Linked DNA regions of Mytilus edulis. The protein of the gene in region 2 binds, or shares a complex with, the protein of the main gene of each other region. Links are inferred from orthologs where the notes say so. Each region holds a gene or a part of one and is shown on either strand. Other genes may lie near its edges.

Evidence for each region.
Region 1: the proteins of GPI transamidase component PIG-S-like (region 2) and phosphatidylinositol glycan anchor biosynthesis class U protein-like are in contact, whole or in part, in a cryo-EM structure (PDB 8IMX), measured with the Homo sapiens proteins. The link is inferred for Mytilus edulis from reciprocal best matches to the Homo sapiens genes PIGS and PIGU. Residues at the interface, in NP_149975.1 of Homo sapiens: Ala4, Gly5, Ala8, Thr9, Glu12, Arg15, Arg18, Ala19, Phe22, Phe23, Val26, Leu30, Leu34, Trp35, Thr38, Thr39, Leu510, Leu511, Phe513, Ile521, Tyr522, Leu525, Phe526; in NP_536724.1 of Homo sapiens: Gln118, Phe282, Glu283, His284, Phe285, Leu287, Phe288, Phe289, Cys291, Val292, Phe293, Ile295, Phe299, Tyr300, Ile302, Pro303, Ile306, Lys307, Lys309, Glu310, Thr417, His418.

What each region holds. Positions count from the first base shown.
Region 1 is NC_092348.1:7,151,657-7,160,252, forward strand, and holds the start of phosphatidylinositol glycan anchor biosynthesis class U protein-like, read right to left. Parts: upstream 3,380-8,596; 5' UTR 3,320-3,379; coding exon 3,187-3,319; intron 908-3,186; coding exon 843-907; intron 398-842; coding exon 326-397; intron 1-325. UniProt on the Homo sapiens protein: Component of the glycosylphosphatidylinositol-anchor (GPI-anchor) transamidase (GPI-T) complex that catalyzes the formation of the linkage between a proprotein and a GPI-anchor and participates in GPI anchored protein biosynthesis.
Region 2 is NC_092347.1:87,617,543-87,625,754, forward strand, and holds the start of GPI transamidase component PIG-S-like, read right to left. Parts: upstream 3,452-8,212; 5' UTR 3,385-3,451; coding exon 3,348-3,384; intron 1-3,347. Other genes in the region: stabilizer of axonemal microtubules 2-like, read left to right, coding at 5,179-5,228, 6,784-6,853. UniProt on the Homo sapiens protein: Component of the glycosylphosphatidylinositol-anchor (GPI-anchor) transamidase (GPI-T) complex that catalyzes the formation of the linkage between a proprotein and a GPI-anchor and participates in GPI anchored protein biosynthesis.

The DNA.
Region 1 (8,596 bases), on a different chromosome or scaffold from region 2:
ATTGATTGATCAGCTTTCCAAATTCTGGTTCAGAAACCTTTAATGGTTGTCTTATGTATTTTTTTAAATTGGTATTTTTTTTCCTTATATTTACTTTTTAATATCATATTACATGTAAGTGATAATACTAAAGACAAATAATTAAAAAATAGAAACCTTTTCAATGATGTCATTCTTTTCTTTTTTTACAAATAAACCACATGATGAACATGTCTTATTTGGACACAATTGAACCAATCAAACTGTAAACAGCAAAATATTATTTCTATATCCTAACTGTTGTGTGATTTAGTTTTAAAATTGCTTAAATCATTCATATACTTACAACAAACATCAGTAAGATTGTATGGTCAGAAAATGAAGTCATGAAACCCAGTATTCTTAGAACTAGTGGGGTCTGAAATGAAAATATACATCTCTCAGTTTAATAACAGTACACATTATAACACATTATAGTAAAAAAAAACTAAGACAGTATATTGTGAGGTTTCAACACAGTTTATATGTTTTGTCATCTAAAACATTATCATATGCAAATGCTTTCATCTATCTGGGATCTGTAACTTTCTAAAGTTACAAATATTACAGCTTTTCTCACTTTTCTGTCATTTATTGAATTAGATATATTTATTTACTTTATTACACAGCTCAGTAAAAATTAACCTCGGTAGAAATTAACTGTCTATTTAAAAAAACATCATTAAAAATAATTGAATGAACTCTTGTTTCTTTTGTGTTTTTTTTTTTACATCAGTTCCTATGAACAGTAGCACAAAATTCCATCACTTTTTTTTTATATATAGAATTAATATATCATTATAACTAAATTATGTATATATTACCTCATGAAATAAATCCCCAGCATAAGGCGATATCATATACTCCTTTAAAGCAATACCTTCCATCGCTGTGAATATAAGTTAAATGCATAATTAGCCTATTTCTGAACCAAATTTTGAGGCTTATTTTGAAACTCTACATGCACGTGACACTCACAGTGTTTCTTCCCACATTTGATTTTATCACAAGGGTGATGGCAACTATTTTTGGGTTTCAGGTATAACATTTGAGTACAATGGGATCAATCAGTTGATATAATCATCATAATAGAACACTATTTAACAAAAGGCAATTATTTGATACAGTGTCTTTCAGAAGTTTGGAATGAAACATGTACATCATAGTTCTTTAGTGACAGTTAAGATTTTGTTTATTCATGAAATTATATAAAAAAAAATCAAAGACCTGATAGCTTTGATAGAGTAATACAATAACTTGAATAACTATGAAAGCAGTCATATAACCACGCCAACCTAGCCTACTCTGTTGCTTTCGAAATAATATACTTACACATGTGATATGTCTCCACCAAAACATATAAAACTTACTATAAACATCTCTGAATATTGATGATTCAAATTAAATTCACTTTAATTCTATACAATGCATCTCAGTTCATTTTGCATGTTCAATTTTATTAAAGCAAAAACATTTGAATTGATTAGGATTCATTCAAAGGATTTTATGACACTGAAACTAATAATTTTCAGAAGGTATTAATTACAGGGATGGCTTAATCGCTTAAGGGAATTGCTGGTCCCATATGAATGATCAAATAAGTCTATACAAAGTTCATGTGCATTAAACTAGAAATTAGAAAAACAGTCCAGATCAAAAGATTTTCAGGGCATACCTGTATGTTTTCTACCTGTGAACTGGATGTAAAGGTATTTCTTCCAATATAATTGAAAATTTCAATTCAGAAACGTTTTCAATGAATGGTTAAAAAGCAAGAGCAGCCAGTTGGGAAAACAATAGTTTACGTCTCGGTTTCAGTGATCTGATCATTCTATTTTCTAATTTCTGCATTGATTTGGTAACCTGTCTTCAAAGTTATTTGACATTCATAATTGCCTGCTGTGTCAATGTTCTGTCTAGTTTAAATTGACAATAGGCTGTGTCAATTTGCTGTTTATCTTTATAAGCTGTGTCAAAGGGCTGTATAATTAGGTTTTCTGTATACAACACGTAAGCATTAAATGGTGTAAAACATGCCTACGCTTATTTTATTTGGAAATCATTAGTTGTAGTTCTAACTTCTATGTTGGTCAATCGTAAATAATTTATTTTCTCTTCTCACAGCAAAATGCCTATTGAATTGGCCATGTTGACATGGCAGTGAAGCACCTGTTTCATTAGTCCGAGATTACTCTGACGTCCAACGGCTGTTTTGCCAGACAAGCTGGGGCCGTGGGACGTCAGAGCTTGTCCCATATCAAAACGTGGATATTTGCCCACCCAAAATAGATGCGCTGCTTCGTCGCTTCTGATGCAGACTAACAGCCATGGAATTATATAAATTGGGCATCAATCTGTTCATTTTTCATTTATCTCTTCATTTATGTAAGTTTCACCTACCTGCCAACCTTTATTTTTCCATATTTTAACAGTTTTCACAGTGACCCATCGATTTCAGCATTTTGACTTTCACTTTCAAATGGACGTCAAGTTACGAGAGAGTTCGTGGTCTCGAGACTCAAAATATGCAAATATTTATATTTTTTCACCTCCTTTGTAGGAGATCGATGTTTTACATTTAGTAGCCAACCACGATTTTTCACCTCCTTTACAGGAGATCGGTATGAAGCATTTAGTTCCGACCACGTTACAAGTGGAAACTCTCGGACATTTAGATATCTTGCATCGTAAATGAACGAGGTGTTACATTATGGTCATTTGCATAAATCAACACTGTTTTCTCGTGGGTCACTGTGAAAACTGTTAAAATATGGAAAAATAAGGTTGGCAGGTAGGTGAAACTTACATAAATAGAGATAAATGAAAAATGAACAGAATGATGCCCGATTTATATAATTCCATGGCCGTCAGTTGGCATCAGAAGCGGCGAAGCAGCGCATCTATTTTGGGTGGGCAAATATCCACTTTTTGATATGGGACGAGCTCTGACGTCCCACGGCCCAGCTTGTCTGGCAAAACAGCCGTTGGACGTCAGAGTAATCTCGGACTACTGTTTCATAAGAGTTAAGGAACTTTTAACATTTCAATTTCGTGATAAGGTTGGACTAGCTTAAGCGTGAAAGAGTTGGAAGGAAAAACAAAATTATATGAAACTCAGCATCCCTCAAGTTGCGGCTCAACCGAAGTCCTCTCTGCATATTAATTTACCTCGCTCCCATGATGTTAATGGTGTGGAAACCTCTGGTTGCAATGAGATCCAATCAGGGAGAGAGGTCCGGAATAAGGCAAGTCGAATGATAATGCCACTAACGGTACAAAAGATGAGCGGGTAGCTCGACATTTTATTTCACGATTTCGATTTTTTTCGGTGTGCAGTGTAGCAATTGTTTTTGTTTGGTGAGCATTTTTTCGTATTAAATAAAACGTGTAATTGATCCTGATTCATAACGCAATTTTAGATACATTACCGTGCAAACATGATAATAGTCCGTCTTTTTTTCTTCTCTAAATAAATTCCTCCGTTATTGGAGCACCAATGACACACGCGGTAATAAAACCCTCCTATATAAATTTTTAATGTTTCTTGTAATAAGTAACATATATTCCCCTGCAACTCCCTGCTATCATAGTGTCAGAAGGACCACCAATCTTAATAAACATACAGACATGGAATTTTTAATAAACTCGTTTCTTATTCCATCATATCCAGCGGCTTTGTTATTTTTTAAATTTGTAATCACTTTGATAATTTCTTCCTCGGTAATAGGCCCATTTAAAATTTTGTCGAACTCATTTAACTATAGGTTAGGTAATTGAAACTCTTCCTCCTCATTTGCCACACTTTCGTTAAGCTTCTTAAAATGAGCATACATTACTTCTAGTGAAATTGGACTTTTCTTTTTTTGTTTCGGAGAGAATCTATTTAAAACTTTCCAAAATTCTTTCGGGTTATTTGTTGATATGTTACGAAGCTCTTTTTCTGTCTTCAACTGATAATTTTGAAAACATTTGTTTATTTCTTTTTTGTATTCCTTACTTGCTCTTTTCAGTGACTTCTTAATATTTATACTTTTCTGTATTTTATATTTATATTTTGCCGAGTGAAATTGTTTTCTTTTCAGCTTACATGATTTATTAAACCATGGTTTATTCCTAATTTTGGCCCAATGAGTTTTTTTAATCGGATTTTTATTAGCAAAGGTTCCAAAAGAATTCTTAGCTGCCTGCGAGTAAAAATTTGTTAAAATAGTTATAATAAAATTGAGAATGGAAATGGGGAATGTGCCAAAGAGACAACAACCCGACCATAGAAAAAAACAACAGCAGAAGGTCACCAACAGGTCTTCAATGTAGCGAGAAATTCCCGCAACCGAAGGCGTCCTTCAGCTGGCCCCATAACAAATATATACTAGTTCAGTGATAATGAACGCCATACTTATATCCAAATTGTACACAAGAAACTAAAATTAAAATAATACAAGACTAACAAAGGCCAGAGGCTCCTGACTTGGGACAGGCGCAAAAATGCGGCGGGGTTAAACATGTTTGTGAGATCTCAACCCTCCCCCTATACCTCTAGTCAATGTAGAAAAGTAAACGCATAACAATACGCACATTAAAATTCAGTTCAAGAGAAGTCCGAGTCTGATGTCAGAAGATGTAACCAAAGAAAATAAACAAAATGACAATAATACATAAATAACAACAGACTACTAGCAGTTAACTGACATGCCAGCTCCAGACTTCAATTAAACTGACTGAAAGATTATGATTTCATCATATGAACATCAGGCATAATCCTTCCCGTTAGGGGTTTAGTATCATACCATCATAACATATACGAGAAGAACATAACCCGTTTCATGTCAACAACTGTTTTTGAATAAATGTGTTTAGTTCCGATGCAAAGACCCTATAAGTGAATCAATATTAACGCCAAAATATGCAATCTTTAATGACCTGACAACAGTATCGTAACTATATCCCTTCTTAATAAGTCTATTCAAAGGTTTTGTTAGGTTTTGAGGTGAATACTGACACCTTTGTGCTTTATAAAGAATATTTCCATAAAAAAATGGATGTGAAATACCTGAACGTATAAGAAGTCTGCATGTTGAGCTATATTTACGAATGATGTCCTTATACCGATGATAAAATTTAGTAAATGTTTTGACTAGTTTGTGATATCGAAAACCCTGGTGTGATAATTTTTCAGTAATACATAAATTTCTCTCGTTAAAATCTAAAACATTGTTACATACACGAGCGAATCGTACAAGTTGAGATATATAAACACCGTAAGATGGTGACAAGGGAACGTCACCATCTACAAATGGATAATTAACGATAGGAAATGAAAAATCATCTCTTTTATCATAAATTTTAGTATTCAGCTTTCCGTTAGTAATATAGATATCAAGAATAACTCTGTTTATATCATGATTATCTTTTTTGAAGGATTTTATTTCATTACACAAATCAAGAACTTTTTCCTCGTTCTTTCTTATATATATGGTTAGTTATTGCAGTTACGTCTTACACGGTAAAATTGGCATTTTGAACACGGAACCATTGCTTTTTCATGTAAGATAAAATTTATCAAAATCAGGTTTTATTTAATTACGATTAAAATGATGAATAAAGACAAGTAATTATTTAATAATACGCATAATTGATTGGTTTTTGTCCTACTTTTGCATCAAGAAAATAGTGGAATTAATTACTTTTGGAGTGTCAAGAACTCGTTGGAAGTACTTGATAAATTGCATAGTTATATTGGTGATTTTGAATCTGTTCAAAGTTTTGATTTTTCTACCCTGTAAACCACATTGCCTCACAATCTCATTAAGAAAAATTTCACACACCTAATTAAATGGGCATTTAAAATGTCAGAATGTGAATATATATGTTCAAACTCTTTTAGGTCATTTTTTAGTAGCAATAAACAAAAAAACTATGTCAATTGGACATGCTTTGATACTATATATGCCCTTGAATTTTTACTAGATAACATTTTTGTTCGCTTTGGGAATCCCGGTATATCGTCAGATTATCGGAATTCCAATGGGAACTAACTGTGCACCACTTATTGCGGACCTGTTTTTGTATTGCTATGAGTTACAATTTATGACAAAAATAAGCAAAGACCCATCAAAACAACATCTGATAAACAAATTTAATAATACTTTCAGATATTTGGATGATATTTTGGCTCTCAATAATGACGACTTCAGTATGTAGACTTCAGTATGTATATTAAAGAAATTTATCCTGCTGAACTTACTTTAAATAAAGCTAATACTAACAATGACCACTGTCCTTTCCTCGATCTTGATATCTATATCACTAACGGAAAGCTGAATACTAAAATTTATGATAAAAGAGATGATTTTTCATTTCCTATCGTTAATTATCCATTTTTAGATGGTGACCGTGACGTTCCCTTGTCACCATCTTACGGTGTTTATATATCTCAACTTGTGTATGTAACAATCTTTTAGATTTTAACGAGAGAAATTTATTTATGTATTACTGAAAAATTATTACACCAGGGTTTTCGATATCACAAACTAGTTAAAACATTTACTAAATTTTATCATCGGTATAAGGACATCATTCGTAAATATAGCTCAACATGCAGACTTCTTATACGATCTTATGCGTTCAGGTATTTCACATTTTTTCATGGAAATATTCTTTATAAAGCACAAAGGTGTCAGTATTCACCTCAAAAACTAACAAAACCTTTGAATAGACTTATTAAGAAGGGATATAGTTACGATACTGTTGTCAGGTTGTCGTAATTTCTGCTTCTTGCTATGTTTTGATATAGTTATAAAGCCAGCAAATACGAATATCTCATAAAACTAGTAAATGCACGGGGTAATAAATAAATACGGACGTCAAATCTGTTGTCTGTTCTCTCTCATCATTGGTAGCGTGAATAACTAGTCAATAGTAAAATGATACTTTTATTAAACAGCCGATATATTTCCATACAAGTACAATATTCCAACAATAATATATATAATTTACATACGGGCGGAGCTACTAAAATAATATTCTTTCTCGTGTACGGGTCAACTGGAATTATCTTAAATATTTCAATGACAAAAAAAATTATAAATAAAATGCAAGGCATACAGCTATCTGCGCTGCTTCTTACCTCTAAAATTATAACCCTTACTTGTAATATAAAATGCGAGGCATACAGCTAATGCGCTGCTTCTTACCTCTAGGAACCCCCGGGATGAGCCTTGCTGCAAGCCAAAAGTAAACACAGCAAAGACTGACGAACGTGACGTTGCACTGGTATTTATTTCAAATTACCGGAAGTAAATATTCTAAGCAGGAAGAAAAACATAGCGTAACATAACGTAAAACGCTTACATAAAATATAGGAGTCCTCGACTCAAAATGCTTATAATCATACACTCTTATGAATAATCAAATATAGACATACCAATTCTTCCAGTTAAGAACACTTAATAAAACACTTTTGGGTTCACGCTTAAAACATTGACCCAACGGTAACGTTCTGAACAATACATGACAAAGTTGCACTTTATTCCCATAAACGACGTTATAGATACAGCTAATAACATAAAGTAAAACGTACGTAAATTACTCATTCAATATACTAAATACTAGAAATAACTTCTGACAACTCATATAAACTCTCATAATACAATAATAACAATATTCCTTTACTTGGAAATAACCAATATACACATTTACAACACAGGTCATTAAAGATTGCATATTTTGGCGTTAATATTGATTCACTTATAGGGTCTTTGCATCGGAACTAAACACATTTATTCAACAAGAGTGCACACGCTGAAATGTCTCGCCTTCTATACTAATCATTGATATTATGTTGATAGTCCTAAGTATAAAGCTTAGTTTTATTACAACTGTCTCATAAACTTAACATTAACCAAGATAACTAAACAAAGACCAATGAACCTTGAAAATGAGGTCAAGGTCAGATGAACCATGCCAGGCAGACATGTACAGCTAACAATGCTTCTATACAACATATATAGTTACCCATTACTTATAGTTTAAGAAAAATAGACCAAAACACAAAAACTTAACACTGTGCAATGAACCGTGAAAATGAGGTCACCGTCAAATAAAACCTGCGCGACTGACATAAAGATCATAAAATATTTCCATACACCAAATATAGTTGACCTATGGCATACAGTATTAGATAAAAAGACCAAAACTCAAAAACTTAACTTTGACCACTGAACCATGAAAATGAGGTCAAGGTCAGATGACATCTGCCCGCTAGATATGAACACCTTACCATCATTCCATACAACAAATATAGTAGACCTATTGCATATAGTATGAGAAAAACAGACCAAAACACAAAAATTTAACTATAACCACTGAACCATGAAAATGAGGTCAAGGTCAGATGACACCTGCCAGTTGGACATGTACACCTTACAGTCCTTCCATACACCGAATATACTAGCCCTATTGCTTATAGTATCTGAGATATGGACTTGACCACCAAAACTTAACCTTGATCACTGATCCATGAAATGAGGTCGAGGTCAAGTGAAAACTGTCTGACAGACATGAGGACCTTGCAAGGTAC
Region 2 (8,212 bases):
TATTGGATAGGAGCATAATTTTTGCCTTTCAGTAGACCAACTACGAACTCCTCAAAGAGTTGCATTCTCTCTACAACTAGGCATCGTATTTAATGTTCCCATTCTGACCAGACGTGACTGCGTATTTACACATCCTGCACAGCCAAACGGACGACCAACATTGGCAAGTCAGGTGAAGACAAAGTGGAAAGCTATAGTTAAATGTTTATAAGGTAAAATCGTAAAAACATTCAATTCTATCCAATATTCCATTCACTAAGGACGAGAGACTAGTGTACACATGACATTCGATAATTGACAACTTCGACGGCTTTTATTAACATATAACGTTGTTTATTATTTTTTTCAATAAAAAAAAATATTTGTGAAAAAATTATGTGCTAACGGCAGCTACATGTATGCCCCTGTTATTGATAAGATTGTGGGGGTTTTTTTTATATAAGGAAAACTTGTGGATTTATTTTGTTTAACTCAAAACATTTAAACAAATATCAAATTTTGTGTTCTTAAAATCATTTTTTCAAATAAGCCATTTAAGGGGAGATAATTCTTTTAGTAAAAAATACATACTGAACAGATAAGGAAATTTTTCAAGATGATTTACAAGGCTATGGTGTAAACTTCTGTAAAGATTACATGTTATGTATTTCAGAGATCAAAATTAAATAACACAAAACTGTAACTACAAAGGGGGATTGAGTTTGAGTAGATTGTTTTCTGGGAAAAATTTGGTTGATTATATTTGGAATCTCTGAAGCAAGACCAGAGTAGGCCCGTCTCAGGCAGTCACTTATAAAAATTTCTGGATCTGCCACTGAACTACATGCATTCCTAAATACTGAAATAGCAAGAAGGTCTATTATCTAATTACTCTTAGTCTTAGTCTGACTCTAACTCATGAGTTGTGTGCGAGAGAGAAATTTGGAAATTTTTATTCTAATAAAAATGATTAATTACTGAGAAAGGATTTTACTTTCTTGCAAGATTTATTCTACTTCACTGTTTCAAAATTGTTTACCAAAGTTCTGTTATACGTTTTATGATTGAAACATCAGTTGAAATCTTCTCACTTTCATTTACCTGTTAAATTACATACCTGCAATTTTCACTTCAAGATTGGTTGTCACTCAGTAAACACTTAGTTCAGGGATTTCAATCGATTTAAGAGGAAAAATATTGATAACAAGACTTATCAGCACCCAAGTCCGAAGACATTTCGGCACACCAAGACAATCCGGCACCTCGTTTTTAAAAATAAATTTCTTTTGAAAATTTAAAGAATAGTTGCATAGATATTATAATTTGTATATAAAATATGCATTTCAAAAAGAATAATCATCATTTAATTAAACTCTTTAGTCTTAATGATTATGTATGTATCATGAATAAACATCATTTAATTAAGGGACTTTTTGAAATCAAACATATAAAATTTCTTGATCCCCCCCATAATACATAATATTTCACTATTTTCATTTGATCCCCAAGTAAACACATTTGAGAAATTTGACCCCCCCCCCCCCCCTCTATTTACATACGAATATTTAAACATCAAAAACACTTGTAATTTCACGAAAATATTGAAAATGAAAACATATTTGAGGGAAAATTGTCTTGAAATAGGGCTCTTCCATAAGGCCTTTTCCATAAATATGAGTAGGTAGAGCAAGCCAGTGCTATAATATTTCACTATTTTCATTTGATCCCCAAGTAAACACATTTGAGAAATTTGACCCCCCCCCCCCCCCCTCTATTAATTACATACGAATATTTAAACATCAAAAACACTTGTAATTTCACGAAAATATTGAAAATGAAAACATATTTGAGGGAAAATTGTCTTGAAATAGGGCTCTTCCATAAGGCCTTTTCCATAAATATGAGTAGGTAGAGCAAGCCAGTGCTGTAGTTTTTTTCTGACTTTCTCTTTTCTAATTTCCTATAATATTGTGCTATAAAAGAAAACTTGATCCTAAGTAACTCAAAAAATAACTTTTTGAAACAGTAACAACACATTATTTGTTAACCCTTTCCTCTGTGGAATTTATTTTCTTACATACTTGATTTGCATAGGATTTTTTTAATAAAAAAAAAATCATCAGGTTTAAAGTATTAATGCATTGTGAAAATGAATATTTCATCAATGAAATTCAAATCAGATATTCTTATGAATATCCTTTTCATATTGGATGCTAATTTTTTTAAGTCTGATGCAGACATTTTGTAGTCAAAAGCGTTTCAACTGAGGTACTACACAGGCGTTAAAAGGCGTCATTATGGAGCAAAGGGGGTGGCGTCAAAAAGCGTCATTATGGAGGAATATCTAGTATATGAAGGGGGTCTCATTGGGGGTTCTGATCCCGGATCCCGCTTACTGTTTTGTCAGATTCCCGTATCCCGTTTACACTATTGTAAGCAACTATCATTTTTTTGTAATTTCCCGTGTCCCGCTAGACTTCATTTCCTGTTTTCACGGCACAATATTTTGACTTTCACGTGTCACGCTTACAAAAAATCGGCAATCCCGCATCATGAATGACTAAATAACACTGTTATTATCCGAATAACACTTATAATGACCGAATAACACTTGAAATTATAATAGCACATATTTGTGACTTTTAAACATTGATTATTAAATAATAATATATCATCGATATATTTTATAACTTAAAAATGATTTAAAGAAAGCAAAAAGAGTTCATAAAGATCATTTTAAATTTAGTGTGTACATCGTACATGGCGGCCATTGTGATTTCTGTGGCCGCCATCGTTCGATGTACACACTAAATTTAAAAAGTTTTTAATGAACTTATCTGCTTTCTGCAAATCATTTGTAAGTTATAAAATACATCGATAATGTATTATTATTTAATAATCAATGTTTAAAAGTTACAAATATGTGCTAATATTAAAATTTCAAGTGTTATTCGGTCATTACATGTGTTATTCGGATAATGAGTGTTATGCAGTCAGTTGAGGTAAAGCTGAAATTGTGTTGTGTGATACCATATCATTAGCCTATAGTATAAAATGTTTTATGATGCATGTATTTTCATGATTTCGAAAGTAATTTGGGATATTGATGCTTTCCTTGTACTGGGAGATATACAAACACCCTGAATGAATGGTCAAATTATTTGGCACAGTACTGTTGTTCTTGATTTAGTAGTGAACAGAGGTGGCTTACTATACTTAGCCTTAGGCCATCGGTCAACACTTTATAGTGATCAGTTTTTGGAATGACTGTTACAAATTAACTTATGAAGACTTGTGCATACAATGACAAGCATCTACATATTCAGATATGGACACAATAATTATGTTTTAATAATTTCCTCATTTACGTGTGACTGGTTTTTGTTTTTCCTCCGACTTTTTCATTTTTATGTTGCCGGATAATGCCGTGTCTGGTTCCTTATCGATTGGAAACCAGAAACCAGTGGAAAGCGATCTATCTGAATACCGTAAGAAGATCACCGATAACCGATAACCGATAACCGATAACGTCCTTTTAGTGAGTGAATTCTGACAGACTGCGCGAATTTAAATGAAAATGATTTAATTTTAATATTGAATCAATAGATAATTTAAAAGTCACCGTTTTAAAGAAAAAAAATCCCCATATTCTGATAATTTGACACGATGAGTTCAATCTAAGTAACAGGGCACAGCTGAGACTACACTCCCGACTTGTTTCAGAATTTTCCTGCCCACATATATACCGTGTTATATAAAGGTATATATATATTATTTTATTGTTGTTGATACAAGTGCCTGTGTCACATGGACTCGGTTAGCAGATTAAAATTTTTATTATCATTGTTTTTAAAATCTTTTTTTGTCATTTTCCTATCTATTTGTACCAAATTATTATCAAGTTTATCGTTTTTAACCGTGATTGGCATAACTATTTCTTTATTTACTAGCAATGTGCAGTTTCTATCCATATCTGAATTATTATACTGAAAAATATTGACATTACACTGTTTAGAAATGTCGGACGGACCTAGTACTTTTATGGGGTTTTTTCAACAAACATTAATTCGTAAAATTCATTGTATAAACCTCATGATTTCTTTTAGAAATTCAGTTTAAAGTTCAGTGGCAAAATATCCATGCATATTAAAGACAAAAACAAATCAACACTGAAACGATACAAAGTATAGTTCGACATGGGAGAAAGTGCGGGGAAAGTTATACGGGTACTGTAATGGGCAAGATTTAAACTTTTGCCGAAACGAAATAGCACTACATCGATGTTTTTTACCGTGCACACCAGTAAAGTCAGTAAATACTAAGACAAATTTCTCCGCTACAAACAATACACTATATCCAAAACTCAAACATGTTTGTTTCAAATCAAATAAACCATACATTCATTAGTAGTGATCGACCGATATCTTTTATAGACTTCCTTGATATTATAACTGCTTAGGACAACCTTTATGCAAAATTATTGATAAACGAAACCAATTTGAAACTACAAATTCCAATTTAGAGTGCATGTTAAGAATGCATAAAACAACTGATTTTATCTATAAACTGCATTTTTCATTTGAATAAAAGGGATGTTGGGTACGCGTCTATGTGAAAGTAACAACGAAACGAAAAAATCTAACAAAAAGACAAGCTTCGGAAATCCATATATAAACGGTTCAGTAATTACTTTCTAGTGTTCTTTTGACAGTTCGCCCTTCGATGGTCAACAGAGTTTTCAGGTTCTAAAAGACTGCATGTGTCTTTCCCAGAAAGCACATGTAGTATATATAACATTATAGTGCTGGATGCAGTTATACGCGTGTATTGATAACTCATATATAAGTAAAACGTATATATTTTTTTTTAAAACAGTTGCCGTTTCAGTTATAATTTTTACAACAATCGTTCCCATTTTTTTTTGGGAGAAATATAAAATATTTTTAAACAAAACCAAAGAAAACTTGATAATCAGTACGTTTAATGCAACTAATACAGATTTAGAAATAAATAAAGAATAACCAAACTATTCTACGCTATGGGTGACGTCACCATTGATCTCCTTGACCGTTGCTATACACTTGGTCATCACAAAGACGTTAACGTCACATTGTTGAGCCGGTAACGAAGGGAGTTGAAGTGGATGCGGGTGAGGGAGGAGAAAAAAATCAACGTCCGTTTTTCGCGTACCGCTAAGGAATGTCCAGCTCTAAAATTATCGTCGTGGTTGATCCAGTGAAGAATCCAAGGTAAAAAAAATATAAAAAACTTAGTCGATTAATTTCCAGAGAGATTATGAGAGTGAGGGGGAAAGAGAGACAACAGTATGTGCTTCAGTGCAGATATCATTTGTAAATTGGTACATACAGTATTTGTTGAAATACTAATCTATTAAATGAATTTTAACTGGTCGTTAATTCAAATCTATCCAAGCATCCCAAGTTGAGGATATCGCCTATAGCCCCTTTTGTCTGGAATACAATCTGGAACGCTTTTGCTGCAGTGAAAAGCTACTTATGGCAAATTGTGAAATAAATTGTATCAATATCATTAAAAGCATAAATGAGTTTGCTTAGTATTTTGTAATTATGTCATTTACGTTGACAAATACAGTAATCAACAAAAAGGGGTCATATATCATTTTACATGTACTAATAAAAAAGAGGTAAATGTGACAAATATTGTGGCCTTCTTTTATTTTAGGGGTCCCAACTCTTATAGAGCTATACTTAACTATCCTAAACCCCAATCTTACCCTTACCCATACCTAACCATAACACTAGCCCTAACACTAAATACTAACCCTAACCTAAAACAGCCCCTAACCTAACCATTACCATGAATGAACCCTACCTCTAAAGTATAGGGACCCTTAAAGTAAAAGAAAGCCAATATTGTTAATGGAGCAGTAATGAGATGATAAAAGCTATCAATTATATTATTGACAAAAACTATGTAAGTTTCGGCAGTATGCTTATCTAAAGGGTAGAAGGTTTTCATATGGGCACTAATTGCGCCCTCTTAAATGGCGACTTGTTCCTGTATTGTAATGATCCACAGTTTATGGCCACACTTACACAGTGTAGAAAATATTCGTCTGAAACCAATTAATTGGAAATTAAATATAATTACCGTTACCTTGATGATGTTTTTGCTTAAAATAATGAAGAACTGTTTAGTCATACGGCAAAAGAAGTTTACCCTTTAGAACTGATTTTACTCTAATCTACTATATATATATAAAGCAATAACTGACATTCATATTCTAAATTTCAGTTTCACATAAGAAAGTCTAAACAGTCAAAGAATTAAGACAAAAAAATAAGATCCCCCTCAAGTTGTTTCCTTCAGCACTGCCGTGTTTATTTGGGCCTCCTTACGATGTTATCTGATTCTCTTGACAATCATACGTCTCTTCCCTTTTTACACCAATGGAGTATATACGGACACGAAGTTCCCGTTTCAACTGATTTCGTCAGTTCATTTTTTGTTGTACTGTAACACCAGGTAAGGGCAAGGATATTGTGCCAGCGAACCCTAAAAAATGGTGCACTGTTTAAACTTTATACTAGGATGCAACTGGAGATCAAACAATCAATCAATCAATAGTTCTAATGAGTGGTACGCTATGACTGGGATTTGCACCAATAAATATAACTTTACAAATTAAAACCTAGGTAAGAGACAGATTCAGATTCGGTGTTTTAAAAAAACAACATGCATTGTGCCATGATACGATAACAAAAGCATGCACGTTCATTATTTCATGAATTAAACTGACTTTAAATAAATGTCTTTTTTTAGGGGCATTCCTCATTTTGAAGCAAAGAACTATAAGTCGAAGAAAATTGACAGTGTATCCGAATACCAGGCGGTAGGTTTGATTTACTTTATGGTCATATACTAATATACACAGGTTTGTATAGCAATCAGGTGACAATGCACCTCAACGCAACACGGAGTACATTTCTGAAAGCAAATGAAGAAATATAACGAAAACAAAAGCCAACATTGATAAATAAACGTCTTTACATGTAATAAAAGTCAAGTTAATGATACAGACGATATCTTCCACTGTTTTTTTCCTTGAAATTTTAAAACAAAGTCAATATTGATAAAATTATATACTCGCAAAATATGCTAAGTAAATTGTATCTTCATGACTGAATTGAGAGAGATGTCAGTTTATCTTTCAATACATTTCCGAAAAAAATAACTTTTAAACAGAAACAGACGTATACCATTTGAATTTGTGTATTTCATATTTTTTATATAGACCTTTAACGGCTTACTAGTAATACAAAAAATGTTTGTACTATGGAGTTTTTTTGTGCTTTAAAGACGAATTTCAGCATTTCTGGTTATTATCTCAAAAAACGTATAATAGATAGACATTCACGGTTCTACAATCCGTTGATACCCGTATTTTGGCAATGCACAAGGTCATGTTTGTCTCTGCTGTTGATGACGTATTAAAACTAAATCCATTGATATTTTTTGTGTGTACTGATTGATGCTTTAGTTTAAGATAATGCTCTTTTTCTTTGTTGTTATTGGATCGGAACTATTTGTAAGTAACTGTATGTGCCTGTTTATGGTCAGTATCCTGTAAATCCGTGGTACTAGTATTTGTTTGTTGCTGCATATCGTATTTTATTTCGTTCATTTGGCCGTATCTCGTTTGGATAGGTTCAGAGTTGTCATTTCGGGACCTTTTAAAACTGTTTTGCGGCAAGGGTTTTGTTTATTGTTGAAGGCTGTACGGTGACATACAGTTGTTAATTTCTAAACCATTCGGTCTCTGCTGGATAGTTGTCTCGTACTCAGTAATAACAAATCTTCTTATTTTTATATAAACTGGTCAGAAATGATCAACCGAAGTTATTTGTAAAATTTCATAAACATCTTGTTCATCAAGGTTGACAATGCTTTTTCGAGGGATACCTTTATCATACTGGATGTCCAGTCATTATTGTCTTTTACAGATGAATTAATTTAAAAGTATGTTCTATGACGTCATGTACATAACAACGTTACAGGTATTAGAAAAATCAACAGAAGTGAAGCAAGATGTTTTATTTTTTTTATTTTCAGTCAAATTATAGAATCTGAGCCAAAACGTAGAACTTAAGCATTGTCTTTAATACCTTGATGAATCGAATTTACATCAAACAATGCCTTTAAATTGTCGATTTTGATTGGTCTAGACGAGAGGGTCACATAAAAAAAAATG